Linked DNA regions of Kluyveromyces lactis. The protein of the gene in region 1 interacts with the protein of each later gene in a pairwise test. Links are inferred from orthologs where the notes say so. Each region holds a gene or a part of one and is shown on either strand. Other genes may lie near its edges. The genes, in order: SSM4 and STE6.

The links.
Region 2: the proteins of SSM4 (region 1) and STE6 interact in binary tests that used the Saccharomyces cerevisiae proteins (3 or more experiments, as listed by UniProt). The link is inferred for Kluyveromyces lactis from reciprocal best matches to the Saccharomyces cerevisiae genes SSM4 and STE6.

The regions. Positions count from the first base shown.
Region 1 is NC_006042.1:2,564,436-2,571,692, reverse strand, and holds SSM4 (E3 ubiquitin-protein ligase SSM4), read left to right. Parts: upstream 1-2,631; coding exon 2,632-5,403; downstream 5,404-7,257. Other genes in the region: EMC5 (Emc5p), read left to right, coding at 1-49; anaphase promoting complex subunit CDC26, read right to left, coding at 197-538; KLLA0_F27709g (uncharacterized protein), read left to right, coding at 1,248-2,123; SUMO protease ULP2, read right to left, coding at 5,537-7,257. UniProt on the Saccharomyces cerevisiae protein: E3 ubiquitin-protein ligase which accepts ubiquitin specifically from endoplasmic reticulum-associated UBC6 and UBC7 E2 ligases, and transfers it to substrates promoting their degradation.
Region 2 is NC_006038.1:1,246,175-1,253,497, forward strand, and holds STE6 (ATP-binding cassette a-factor transporter STE6), read left to right. Parts: upstream 1-2,479; coding exon 2,480-6,295; downstream 6,296-7,323. Other genes in the region: KLLA0_B14190g (uncharacterized protein), read right to left, coding at 1-321; OPI3 (bifunctional phosphatidyl-N-methylethanolamine N-methyltransferase/phosphatidyl-N-dimethylethanolamine N-methyltransferase), read right to left, coding at 1,001-1,657; E1 ubiquitin-activating protein UBA1, read right to left, coding at 6,422-7,323. UniProt on the Saccharomyces cerevisiae protein: STE6 is required in yeast MATA cells for production of A-factor pheromone. STE6 is involved in the transport of the farnesyl-derivation of the A-factor pheromone.

The DNA.
Region 1 (7,257 bases):
CCATGCTAAGAGGAAACTGTTCAAAGAATACCTTCATCGCAGTTTGTGAGTTGATAAAGATTGGTAACTTAAACGCATACATATATATAATATGTACTGGGGAATTACATAATATAATGACTTTGCAATAATAACTAACGGGAGTAGATACAGGGCCGATAGCCAATATAGGCACTTCACCAATCACATTAGGACGTCAGTTATCATTGTGATTGTACGTGTAAAAGGGATTTGGAGGATCCTGTGTACTCTGTGTACTATTTTGTTCAATGAATCGAGGATCTGATGATGCAGACTGTTTATATCGCTGAGGTGGCGTCATCTTATGCAATGAGTGTGATAAAATATCATTCCGTGTCGCACTTGGGTTAGAAATGCCTTCTATCTCTGCTAATCTACTCATTTTTGCAGATGATTTCAAAAGATCTTGATGTTGCGTCTGTATCTCGCGTTGGAGCTTGTACTCTTCTAAATGTTCTTGTAGCTCGGAAATATCATCGGAAGTCAAGGATAAAACTGTAGGATCACGCCTTAGCATAATGGTTGGTATTTATGCCGATTCTATGTTATAATTCTACGTTATGCTATATAAATTGACATCTTAAGAAACTTGACTGCTTTTGTGTTATTAAATTCGGTTGATGAAATATGATGCGAAAGGAAAAGCAAAACCTTCACATACTATTACAAATGAACGTATCTAACACAATATGACGCACATGCAACTCTAAGATCTCTTACTCGATACAACATTTTACCAAATCACTTAAAGAAGGAAGGAAGGAAGGAATGAGCATATATGATCACACTTGGACAATGTAGTTGACCATACGGCGAGTCAGAATCTACAAATTTACATAGCCTTGTTGGCGCAATCGGTAGCGCGTGTGACTCTTAATCACAAGGTTGGGGGTTCGAGCCCCCCACAGGGCTTTCCATTTTTGTCTATTTTATGAATGAATCCTAGATTTTTAAACTTCTTTTTTTTTATGTCTGTAATTTACAGACAATTTCAATGCAATTCAAATTTGAAAACTTATACGCATAACGATCAATTCTTATGGCATAGAGAAACTTAAACAGCTCAGAGTAGCCTGCTTCTCTTGTATATAATAACCAGCCCAATCATCTCTTTGCAGGTTTGATTTTTCACAGTTGAAACCATAGTACGACCTCTTAGACACAAGATTTTTTTATCCAAGTTTCAAATTTGAACTTCGCAGTACCGGTTTACTAATTGATAAAAAATGTCATCCAGTATGAATGGTGGAGACCACAACTACGAAGATAAGCATGCGGGGAATTTTCCAACTTGCCGTATTTGTATGCTGGAAGGAACGTCCGATAATCCGTTGTTCCATCCATGCAAGTGCAAAGGCTCCATCAAATATATTCATCAATTATGTTTGATCGAATGGCTACAGTCAAAACATGTCGATGTTACAAAACCTGGTGCAGGGATGGTATGTTCGATTTGTAATCATCCAATCGCGTTCCAAACTTTGTATGATGAATCAATGCCAGAGAAGATCCCACTTCTACTTCTTCTGAAACATAGCGTTTTCAAAATCTTTGGCAAATTAAATCACTATTTCAAATTCACATTGATTGCGTTCCTTTTCTTCATTGGAATTCCCCTGTCCTGGAATATCTGGGGGAAGCTATATACGGCTACTGTGGATGATTTTTCATTTCCTTCAAATAACAAATGGTATATCAATTTGATTTATGGCTTTGAAAGAAACATACCAAAAAATCCAACAACTACGGATATTTTATATCAACTAGTGATAAATTACAGATTTTCGTTGTTACAAATTCTGATGGTTTTGATCGTGCATGCTATCGCATATTTACAATATGATATGGTAGTCAGAGAGCCAATTTTCAATAAGATGATCTTGCATAAGATTGGACCAAGATTTTCAAAACAAGAGCTGGCCATGCAGTCATTAAGAGAAAGATTTCCAAATATGGATCCAAATGATATAAGCATGCTCATAAATGCCCTCAATAGACAACGACAAGACGATCCAAATGAAGATGATACTTCAGAAGACGAACAAGAACAGAACAATTTCATCGTAAACGAAAATAATGATGAGCCTCAGCTTGCCAACTAACTATAATCCCCCATTTAAATATTTACGATATTGATAATCTTCATATTGAAACATTGCATCAGCCTTCACTCCAGTTCGAAATAAACTTCTATATACAATATAATTCCCTCGTTGTCCCATCAAATCATTCACTTGCTTTAGTAAAACATGCTAGCCCATTAGATTCTCAAAGATGAATTTGGTATTACCCGGCTTATAATGGAAATTGAAATTTGAAGAAGGAAATTTCAACATGGGCGCAGACAATCAGTATATACATCGTCGACTGATCTCGTTTCACAACTAAGTACAACAGGTTAACAATATTTAATCTTTGCTACAATTGTATAGCTGTTGAAGTTGAATAATTATATCATAGAAACTGAATCTTCAACTTGAGTTTTCCGCATTAGATCCCTGCATTACTCTTTTCTTCTGATCACAATATCATATTTCTTCTGCAACATATTCATATCATTACCAATTAGCTGAGTTATTAATCGACTGTACTTTTAATTCACAATCCATTATGGAAAGACACTTTGCACAAAGAGAACTCGATGGGCGGTTGGATGCTCAACTCGGACGACCTCAGCCTGTTGAAGGAGAAGTACAAGAAGATGGAATAAATGCTCAACCAGCGGTTGTACTAGAGAATGAAGATGGTCAACCTACGGCTATCTTGAATTTAAATCTTGATTACAAATATTTACCGAGCTACTTTTCCTTAGTCTTTTCTGTCATTGGTGGATATCTTTTCATTTCATACGCTTTAGCCACACTTGTCGGATATCTGTTGAATTTCATTTATTTTAGAGTTGTGATTATAATGCTGAATGGAGTAATAGTGTCAGCAGAGAGGTTAAATATCCCAGAATACAATCAAAAGCTTATAGAAACTTTTTCTTTGGTATCCTACGTTGAAAATTGGATTAATGGGACAGTTTTAATGCCAATAGTATCGTACTATCAGGGATACATGAAAGGCACAGCAAAACATACGATGCTGGTACGAATGTTGGCGCCAGCCAGTACATATGCGACTTTCATAGTTCTTTGTTGCTGTATACCAGAACTGTTATCTAGAGGGCATTCCAAGAAGCTACCTCTAAAGAATTCTTTGAAAAGAACGATTTTCAAGTTTTCCTATATCATCAAGTGCACATTGAAAGTGCTAGGGTTGTTTACACTTGAACTTGCCGGATTTCCGATTTTAGCGGGGTTTTTGATTGATGTGTCACTGATCTCACCGCTATTATTACCACAGAGCAGCTTGACTTTCGTACCGAGTTTTTGTTCCTTTTGGCCGCCTATGACATTTATTATTTATTGGGCGATTGGTACTGTTTATATGTATCATTTTGCTCAATATGTCGGCATGGTAAGACAATATATTATCAGACCGGGTGTTCTTTTCTTCATAAGATCACCAGATGATCCTAATATTAAGCTATTACAGGATTCTTTGATATACCCAATGAAACTTCAACTCTCCAGACTTGCATTGTCGATGGCAATCTATACAGCATTCATTTTAGTAGGTTTTGGATTTCATACGAGACTTTTGTTTCCTTACATTTTACATTCGGAACTTTTACCTATGAAGCATGGATTGTCAACTCTCATAAAACCAAATTCTATGTTTTCTATTGCAGTCATTGCTGGAACGTATCTCATTCTCTCGAAGAATAGAGTTATTGATGCTTATGTTAGACAATATTGGGTCTTTGTATTCAATATATGCTGCAGAAAACTAAGACTTTCCTCTTTCATCTTAGGAAAAGATTCACCAACTGAGAGAGGACATGTTATTTATAGGAACTTTTACTATAAATGGTTCGTCCCAAACAAGGCAAAACTGTCCAACCTAGAATTATACTCTCATCCAAAATCGCTCGATGAAACCTATACTCTTTTCAAAACTATTCCTGATGTTCACGCATATTTTGTCCCCGATGGCACCATGATGCGCGTACCTGCGAGCGACATAATATCAAAAAAATATGCACAATTGTTGTTCGTCCCAGTTACTAAGGATGACAAACTTCTAAAGCCATTGGATATCGAAAAAATCAAAGAAAGACAGAAACGAAATGCCGGAGAATTTGGCTACCTAGAAAAACAGCCCACGGAATTTGATGAATATAAGGTAGTTTATGTCCCTCCGCATTTTACTTTCACTTATTCGCTGTTAATTGTCTTCATATGGATCTTTGCTTCCCTTTTGTTTACTGCTGTGTTATTAATCTCAAATTTTGCTGGGCTTCCCATTATCACTGGATTGCAATTATTGTTGAATGCGGTTATCCCCCCAGCAATGAAATTTCAAAATGAACTCTATGAAAGTGTAAAACCATTAAATCTTCTTTCCGTTTCTTCTGGTATGATACTTTTGTCTCTCGCTTTGTCATCCTACCACGCACATCTATTAAATAATATCCATCTAAATGACAGAATATTGGAGGTTAATGCCGAACACAATGGGGATGTTCCAAATAACGGTCCAAACGACGATAATCATCAGCATATAGTTCACAATGATGATAATATTCCCGAAAATGATGAAAATCCAGTAGCCAATGAATTTAGAGTACCGGAAATTGCTGAAGGTGATGTTTGGAACTTGATCAAAGGCTTTGTAACAATGGTGTATCCAGTCTTTACATTCTACTTTATGCCAATCATTTTCAAGTTGAATATCAATTATCATTCGGTCTTCATATTCACCTACTTCAAAGATTTCTACTGGAAAGGCGACGTTCTCGAAAACACAAGCCCTGATATATCGTTTGTTCCATTCCTTTCGAACCTCGCATCAAAATCAGAATACAGCGGCTATTCAGCTTACTCATTAATAGCTGCTCTATTGTTTTGTCAAGTAGCAGCAGTGGCGTACATCGCGGTACAGTGCAGTTTGAAGCGGAATAAAACATTAGGATTCAGAAGATTACTCATTAGGGTCACGGATATATGCTTTGTGTACCTCGTTGCAATGATTGCGGTACCTTTTGCTCTGCAATATAGTTTTTCTATGTTTGAATTCCTTACCCACAAACAAGTTTACACCTCTTCATGGGCACCATTTGTTTATTTCATTTTCATACAGCCTTCTGTCTCGGCAGATCATTCCCTTATGACTACATTTCAAAAGGCATTCTACTACGTTGATGTAGTGACGATTTCCTCGGCGTTCCTAACTGTGAGCTCAATTTTATCCAAGTCGCTTTACAATTCTTTATCTCAAAGTGTGAGAGACGAAGTGTATGCAAGAGGAAGGATACTAAAAAACTTTGAAGAATAGTTTGATCAGTCAAGATGTCTTTATAGATTTATTAGCGAAATTTTTTTATTCAATGAATTATTTTATCTAGTCTTACCATTAAAATTTATTACTTACGACTGGGAAGTAAAATGATGGAAAACAGGATATGTAGCTATTTAGATGCAAATTGATCGAAAAAGCTGGCTTTGGGTATTTTGGGATTTTTGCCGTAAGATTTATTTTCTTTATTGCTGAAGAGATGGACAATTTTCCTTTTGTTATCCTTTCTGTTGGAATGAACTTTCTCAAGAATAGGTTGTACTTCCACAATTTCTTCAACCAAATCCTCTGACGGAAGAGAGGAGCTTTTAGAAGGACTACAGCTGTTAGGTTGATGTAGTTTGCCACCGTCAGATGACGATGATTTACCCAAACTCACGGTATTTGATTCTCGCAGTTCATTGGAGAGTTGTTTCCTTATAGAGTCAGTAGATTTTCCGCCACATTCATTTTCATCATCAGAGCGTGTAATTCTAGAGTCAGAATCTCTCGTTTTATCCACAATTGCACGTGACTGTCTGATCAACGAAGAAACGGTCTGATATTTCCTACAATTCGAATATTTAGCATCACTTGTAACCGCAGTGTTGGTACTCAAAGTTTTCAGCTTCTCATTCAACAGCTTCCCAGGTGAAACTGGCACATTACATCTCTGTTGTGAACAAGAAATGTCATAAACCTTGGACTTTTCATTATCAGAAGTTGAATCTTCAATGTCATCCAATTCCGCCGTAGGACATCGATCCCTAAAGTTTGCCCTATCTGGTGGTTGACTTGAAATCATATCGGCACATGAATCTGATTCATTTCGATGGTCATCATCACTTAAAAGCGCAGACTGATAAAAATCTCTTTCAGATTTATTTCCGAGATTAATATCTTTATTTGCAACACTATTTTGGGATGATTCTGGAACTATAATCAGTTGGTCCTCATGCTTATTATCATTGTTTGGAGTACATCTTTCGATTGATGGTGTGGATTTCAAGAAGTACATGGAAGTCTCGACATTTGGTGTAGGCGCTTTTGCTTTGCTATTCAGATTTGCCTCGATTGGAGTGCATTGCATATTATTATGATTAGGTGGATGATTGGTCTCTCCTGTTTCTTCCATAGTGTCGGTTTCCATCTCTTTTGCCTCAAAATCTTCTATAATCTCCAAATCACTATGATTCTCTTCTATGCTTTCATTCTTTTCTTGGCCCAATGATATCCCATGGGCGGCTATTTGTTGCTTTTGGAGAAGTAATAAGACATCTCTTAAGGTTTTCCTTGCAAAACGGCGTTCTTTCTTTTCAAAGAATTCGTTTACCAGTTTAGAGTGGTTGTAGGACGACTTTGCAAACCACAAATCGAGCGTTTCTTTCGGTTTTTCAAAAAATTTCTTAGTATTTAATATCACATGGACACCACAATCACTCATATTGGGTTGCTGTGGTACAAGGCATGTTCTTACTTTGAGCTTTTCTCTTTGAATATCGTAATTATGAACGTCTCTGCCGTATGAAATAATAAATTCTTTCACAGCGTCCATTAATCTTGAATGCGTTTGTCGTAGAGAATCAAAGACTAAAAGGAATACAGTAGGTAACTCGATATTATCTGCAGTGACATTCGTAGGAGCACTTGCTATATTTGAGTTTCGGTCATCCTCAGTTTTTGAGAGCGAAGGTGATTTAAGATTACCTCCTTTTGATGTAAGCTTTTTGGTTAACTGCTCTTCTATGGCTACCTTCAACTTGTCCAAATTTACAATTATGCATCCGAACCAATGATAATTCATATTCACTGGAACTACGACGTATTTCTTGGAAAACAGATCTGAGTTAATTA
Region 2 (7,323 bases), on another chromosome or scaffold:
TATCACATTGCTTGTCCTGTAATTCCTCCGTAACGTATGGTACAATCTGGAGACATCACTTTCGTCTAATGAACCATCAGCCGATTTCCCACAATACTGAAACAAAACGAAACAATTATACATCGTTAAATTCCGAGTGTATATCATTCTTGAAAGACCATTCCAGATGCTATCTAGTTCTTCCTGTGCTTTATGTGTATCCGATGATTCATGATCAACTTCATGATGAGTATGTACAGCAGGCCGTTTCCTTGCCACAGAAAGCGACTGTAATCTGAAAGTGTTGTATCTTCGTATACCAAGTATCCCTTGACGCAACATGGTAAAATCTGGGGTCAGCAGGCCTCAATATGGTGTTTTTTCTATTATTATGCGGATAAGATTATTGTTGGTTTGAACATTTGGATATCCAATTGTTATGAGAAGCTTCAGTGTAATTATCAAATAACATTAGTCATTTTGAGTATTATCCATAACACGTCCGTTAAATGTTCAATAGAAGGTCATGGTAAGTAGAATACTTACCGTGGGCAGGGTTGATATTAAACAGTAGGCATCAATAGGAAGTGATGAAATTGCATCACGTGTACAGGAGCACGCAAACATTAGTGTCTATGGTCGTCAAACTCACTTCAGATGCTTGAAAATTGTTTCCAGCCCCTTTGGCCAAGTGGTAAGGCATCGCACTCGTAATGCGGGGATCGTGGGTTCAATTCCCACAGGGGGCAAAGAAAACCTTTTTTTTTGGTCCTTTCCCTGTGGAAACCAAGGTATGAATATATCCAGCTAAACTCGGTTTAACTGCTCAAGATAATCCACTAGCAACTCCTGGTGTCTCGCTCTTTAATATTGATCGTTTCCTTTCATTCAATACAGATAGAACTATTTAAATTGATAGGTAGTGATAAGTAATGCCAATATTTACACAGACATAAGACATACAATGAACACCCGAACCCGACGTAAGAATGTGGAATTGGCTTTGTAACATTTACTCTGTTCAATTGCCCTTCTTGTTAGCATCTTCAGCTGCACGCTTGGCATAAATCTTGGCAGTGAATGGCTCTTCGAATCTTAATGCGATGTTGTACATCACGTGAACAACCAAAGTGGCAATCAAACCAGCAGGTTTACCGTTGTACAATGCGTAACCAAGGAAAGTGAAAGTAGAACCTTGGTACATTGGATTATCGAAATAGTTGAATGGGAAGCTGGTCACACGGTGGTCCATTAGAATACCGAAATAATCACCTAGATAAGTACCGGTGATCCCCAACTGGTACATAGAGCTTAAAACCAGCAATTGACCAAATGCGATATATGCGATACCGACATAGGTAAATTTGTCACCAGTCATCATGGCACTGACTGGTTGTTGGCGCAATGCAGATTCATAGAAATAGTCTCTGATGATACCCAAGGAGAAAATTGTAGCTGCTAGGAAATAACATCCTCTCTTAGCGGAACCAGCGATCTTAGTCAAGAAATGGGTGCTGTGTTCCAATCTGGCAACGACGTTCCAGAAGATTGGGTTGAACGCAATCAAACCTAGAGCGATTGTATACTCTCTAGATTCGAAATTGGTTAGTGTGACGATTTCATCACAGAATCTCTTGAAAAGAGAAAACTGATTGGTAATATAAGTTTCGATATCCATTTCTTCTCGATAGTTCCTAGCTACTGTGACAATCAAATGTAAACCAATTGATTCAACCTTTTAAGTGACAATAGCTGTAAAATGTTGCGAAACTGAACAGCAGAATGTCCCATCTTTCTTTGTTCTTCCTTCTTTTATATTCCCTTTTACTAATTGCATGTGAAATCCAATCCTTTAAATGTCTGGTAAACCGCAATTTTCAAGTAAACAAACTAACAAACAAAACAAACAAACAAACAAAACAACCGCTGAAGGGCTAAGAATACTGCAAGCAAGGTGTGATAGACTAGGATGTGTGGACTTAAAGCTGGTATTTTTGATGGTAAAATGAAGTACTGATGGACTCTTGTTTTTGTTCTGGCTTCGAAGCTTTAAGTTTGATTCTAGTGCTTATAATGGTGTCTATCAATGTGTCAAAGTAGACAAAAAGGGTGATAGGTTTTATGATCTATATATGGATACTTCATTGGAAACGGTGCTTGCATTTAAAAGGCTGCTTTCAGGTTGTAGAGAATTGGATATTGGAACGGTTAAAGTTGCGGTATGCTGAGAGAAAGGAGAAGGACGCTTCTTTGCGCCTATGTGATTGCCTATTATGGTAATTACTATGGAAGTTACATCAAACAACTGAATAACACAATTTCATTGATGAGGCTTCAATATCACATTGGGCTATTTGACGCAATTGAGGTTTTGGCCCATTGGTATAAATGAAGATCGTTAGATATTGGATTTTTAGTTACTCGATGCCTTCTATTCATGCGTTCAGTGATATTAAAAAGAGTTAGAAACTAAAAGTTTAATAACGACAAAAGGCCACTTATGTTAGACATCTATCAGAATTTTAGGTTCAAGAATGATTGTTTCGTTTTGATTGTCACTGCAGTTTCAACGGTCGCTAATGGTTTAGTTCCAGTTGTGATATCGATTTTAACTGGGAGAGTATTTAACCTGTTACAATCTCTCGGAACTGATACTTACAAAACGAAATCTGAATTTGTTCACGAACTTACGGTAAGGTCATTCTCAATTGCAGCTGTGGCAGCTTGTGTGATTCCAATATCATGGGTCTCCTTATCGACCTGGATGACTTTAGGAGAACGACAGGGTTTCAGAATTAGAAACTCTCTCATCATGTTTTACTTCGAGAAAGATCTAAAATGGTACGATTCGAATGAAAACCTGGAAGGAGATTTCATCCAGATTAACAGATGCATAGAAGAAGTTAGGGCAAGTTCTGCCGAAGCTTCAGCAATTTTCTTTCAAAATGTCATCTCAATTATCGCTCTAATCGCTACTTCAATGTACTATTCGTGGTCTTTAACATTGATAATTTTATGCAGTTTACCACTACTGGCAACTCTAGCCGTTTTCCTCTCTATGAAAGTGGAGAAATTCTCAAAACTTGAGAACTTGGAATCTTCAAAGGCCTCGTCAGTTTTGGCATGGTCTCTTGATGCATTTCAAATGATACGGCTATTCAACACGTCTTACTGGGAGCAGAAGAAGTTCGAGACGCTAGTATCCAAATGTAACAAACACTTTGTCAAATCTTGCTTATACTCAGCTTTGAATGCATCGAGTTTAAGGTTTCTAACACTATGCATGTTTGTGCAAGGTTTTTGGTTTGGTAATACACAAATCAAACGTGGGAAGATGAAAGCTGGGGATGTAATTACATGTTTTTCCTCTTGTTTATTGTTGGGGTCTTCCTTATCAAGTACGTTGCAGCAGATCGTTACAATTCAAAAGGGTAAGGCAGCAATACAACGTATCAACCAGTTCCTTGTTCCCAATTCTAAGTCCGCCGTTGGTGAATGGGAAAAACGAAGTTCTCTCATATCAACATCTTCTTCAATAGGGTTAGCACCCATCTTTTGTGACGGTGATATTGAATTTAGGGACGTATCATTTGCGTATCCTACTAGACCAGATGATTATGTACTAAAAAATGTTTCCATAAAGATTAAATCTGGAGCTACATGCTTCATTGTTGGGAAGTCAGGGTCAGGGAAATCGACGTTAGCCAGTCTTTTACTGAAAATGTATGGCGAATACACCGGTGAGATCAAGTTCGGTGAATACGAAATAGACTCACTTGATGACTCCTGGTTAGTAGAGAACATTACATTAGTGGAACAAAGGTGCACATTGTTCAATGGGACATTAAAAGATAACTTGACGATTGTCAATAAATACGCATCATGTACCGAGGTAAAGCAAGCATGTCAATTTGCTTTACTAAACACTGTCCTGTTAAATCTGCCGAATGGTATTGATACACTTTTGGGCAGACACGGTGTGACATTGAGTGGGGGTCAGCAACAAAGAGTAGCTCTAGCCAGGGCATACCTGAGAAATACTCCAGTACTGATTCTGGATGAATCTTTGTCAGCCTTGGACATAATGTCTAGAGAGTTAATAGTGGAAGCTATCAGACATTGGCGAAAAGGGAAAACTACTATAATCCTAACTCATGAATACACTCAGATCAAAGATGATGAATATGTATATTTGATGAGCGAAGGAACGGTGGTCGAAAGTGGATTCAAATATGATCTTCTAGAAAACCCAGATTCGTACTTTGCACAATTAAACAGTCTACAGGAGACAAGATATGAAGTACCAGTAAGTCCAGATGTAGAACTACCTTATTCTCCTGATAGTGCTACCTATAATCATCAACCAATATCAAGATTTTCACGGTTTTTCTTCGACGCGAGTGCGCTTGAACCGCATCTTCCCAACACATCAAAATCAACAGATCAGTTAGATAACAAACGCGTTGTGTCCAGAGTTCAACCCTTAGACATAGAGAAAGCCTTACAAGAAAGAGAATGCGATTTAGAAGAACAAGGCATACCAAAAATCTTGACGCTTTCTGCTATTATGAAGAAAATGAATAATTCAATACCGAAGAGGCGGTATTTGGTACTGGGATTGCTATTCTCTGTTATTGCTGGTATGTCTAATCCACTTTTCTCCTATACATTCTCCAAGTTGTTGACAGGAATTGCACCACAAGATACAGGCACCAGTTCCTCATATTATCTGATGAAGTGGTCACTAATTGTGATCAGCATATCAGCTGTAGACGGTATATCAACATTTTTGAAAGACTTTATACTTGGATATTGTAGTGAAGTCTGGATTGAGCGGTTGCGAGTCGACGCAATGGCAAAAATATCATCTAAATCTCTAGACTGGTTTAAATTACCTACGAATAACTCATCTGAACTCAATTCCCTCATGATGAATGATCTTCGAGATCTAAGAGGCCTTGCCTCTGAATTTTTGAGTGCTATTACTACACTGGTTTTTGTAGCATCTATTGGTTTGATCTGGGCCTTAGTCTCTGGGTGGAAACTCAGTCTTGTATGCATCTCGCTATTTCCAGCCTTTATTTTATTCTCCGGTATTTATGGTTCATTGCTTCAAGTCTACGAGACTGCCTATAAGACAGAAATCGCAGAGCTTGAGACAAGGGTTCATGAACTTGTCATATCCATGAAAACTATCAAACTCCTTCAACTACAGCAACATTTTGAGGGCTCCTTCAAAACTCAACTGGCGAAAGTTAGAATAGTATGCAAGAAAAGATCAGTTGCTGTCGGATTTGGGATAGCTGTTACAAATGCATTAGCTATGGTTGTCCAAGCTATTTTATTCTTTTTCGGAATAAAATTAGTAATTCAAGGTGAGTATTCTGTAGCACAAATGTTCGAAACGTTTACGTTACTTCTTTTCTCCATTATGACTTGTGTTTCTTTGATCAACCAAGTTCCTGAAATTAGCAGAGGACAAAGGGCTGCTACATACATATTTAAGGTTCTAGAAGATTCTGGCTCTGTTGATACATCAAAACCTGATCCCTCACAGAACCAAAGCTTCTTTAGCACAGCGGGCAACAGAGAGACGATTAAGATATCTAATCTATCTTTTGCCTTCTCAAGCGCACCGATGAATAAAATATTCAACTCGTTAAGTTGCGAGATCTGTCTTAATGAAACTGTCGGGATTGTTGGCGAATCTGGTTCTGGAAAGTCTACCCTATCATTATTGCTAACAAGACTCTACCCTGTACCTAGTGGGAAAGTTTATATTGGTGGTATTGATATCAATAAATGGGATGAGTATGCTTTAAGAAGAACCATTTCAATTGTGGAACAGAAGCCAAAATTCTTTGATGGTACAGTAAGAGAAAACCTGGTATATGGTCTCAAACGTAACGTTTCAAACTCTGAATTAAGATCAGTTTTAAAGTCAGTTGATTTACTATCATTTGTACAAACCCTACCGAATGACTTGAATACGCGCGTTCATGATGGGTTAATGTCCGGAGGTCAAGCCCAACGATTATCTATCGCCCGCACGTTGTTACGCCAGCCGAAAATCATCATACTAGATGAATGCACATCTGCACTGGATGCAGCTAATTCATTTGCAATTGCAGAGCTCATCAGGACTGTTCTGAAGAATGTTACGGTGATTGTTATTACTCATTCAGAGCAATTGATGCAAATTTGCGATAGGGTTCTTGTTTTGAAAAAAGGGAAAGTTAAAGAAGAGGGATCCTATGCAGAGCTCTTCGAATCTAGAGGCGAACTATACCGGATAGTTTCGTGCACTAGATATTAACAGAGGATTTTAAATAACGATTGATTCACATGTATGATTTCTTCTAAGTAAGTTTATATCATTAAGCCTAGCATCATAGAGATAGAATTACGAATTTACATCTGGTATCAGACAAAATTAGAATCATTACAAATGGACGGTGACATATGGAACCTCCACGTCTTCACCTTCCTTATCTTCACAACAGAATTCCAAAATCATGGTCTTAACGTGACTGAGGATTTCCTTCTTCGTGACTAATTTTACAACCTCAGTTATTGGAAGATCCATTCTATCCTTTAGTTTTTTTGGAGGGAAGAATGATGCGTATAGTAAAGAAACATCGTAGGAGACCATTGTAATTTCCAATCCTTCTTCCTTGTTGAAGTGATCAATCAACTCTCTTAATGTGATATCACCTTGAATATCGAATCTATCCCATATTTTATCGAAAGTCTTATCATTGTATTTACCCTTTTGTGATGCGATTGGTTCTGAGAAACCGAAAAATGGAAGAGCTAAATTCACAAACCCGTTCTTGTATTGTTCAATATCTGTCTTTCCAGCGACGACTTTGTATAGTTCTAGGTTGACCAATCCTGTAACCAAAGCAGTGGTTGTAGCGATGGCAGGAATGATACGGCCAGCAATGAACTTAGTCTTTTGACGATCAGCTGGTTCGATAGAGTAGTTTAGAGCACGGTTGTTCGATGCAGCAGTAATGAACTCAATATGATGGTTTGTATCGTCATCCTTTTCAAATTCAACTGGGATTAGTTGGAAACCAGCTAAGGTAGAAGCATCTGGCAAAGAAGCTGCCAAGTTTTCTAAGACATCGCCACCAAGCTGGTTGTTCGCGTTTGGATCTGGTTCATCGTCATTGGTTTGAATTTTGATGTCAGCTTTTGGAATAAATTCAGGAACTATAAGCTTTGATAGGACGGATTGATAGTAGTTAATGTCTGGTTTACCATCATCTCCCTTTAGACCATAATTGAACGCACGCAAGTTAGCAGATGCAACGATGAAGTGGAAGTGATCTGGGTTTT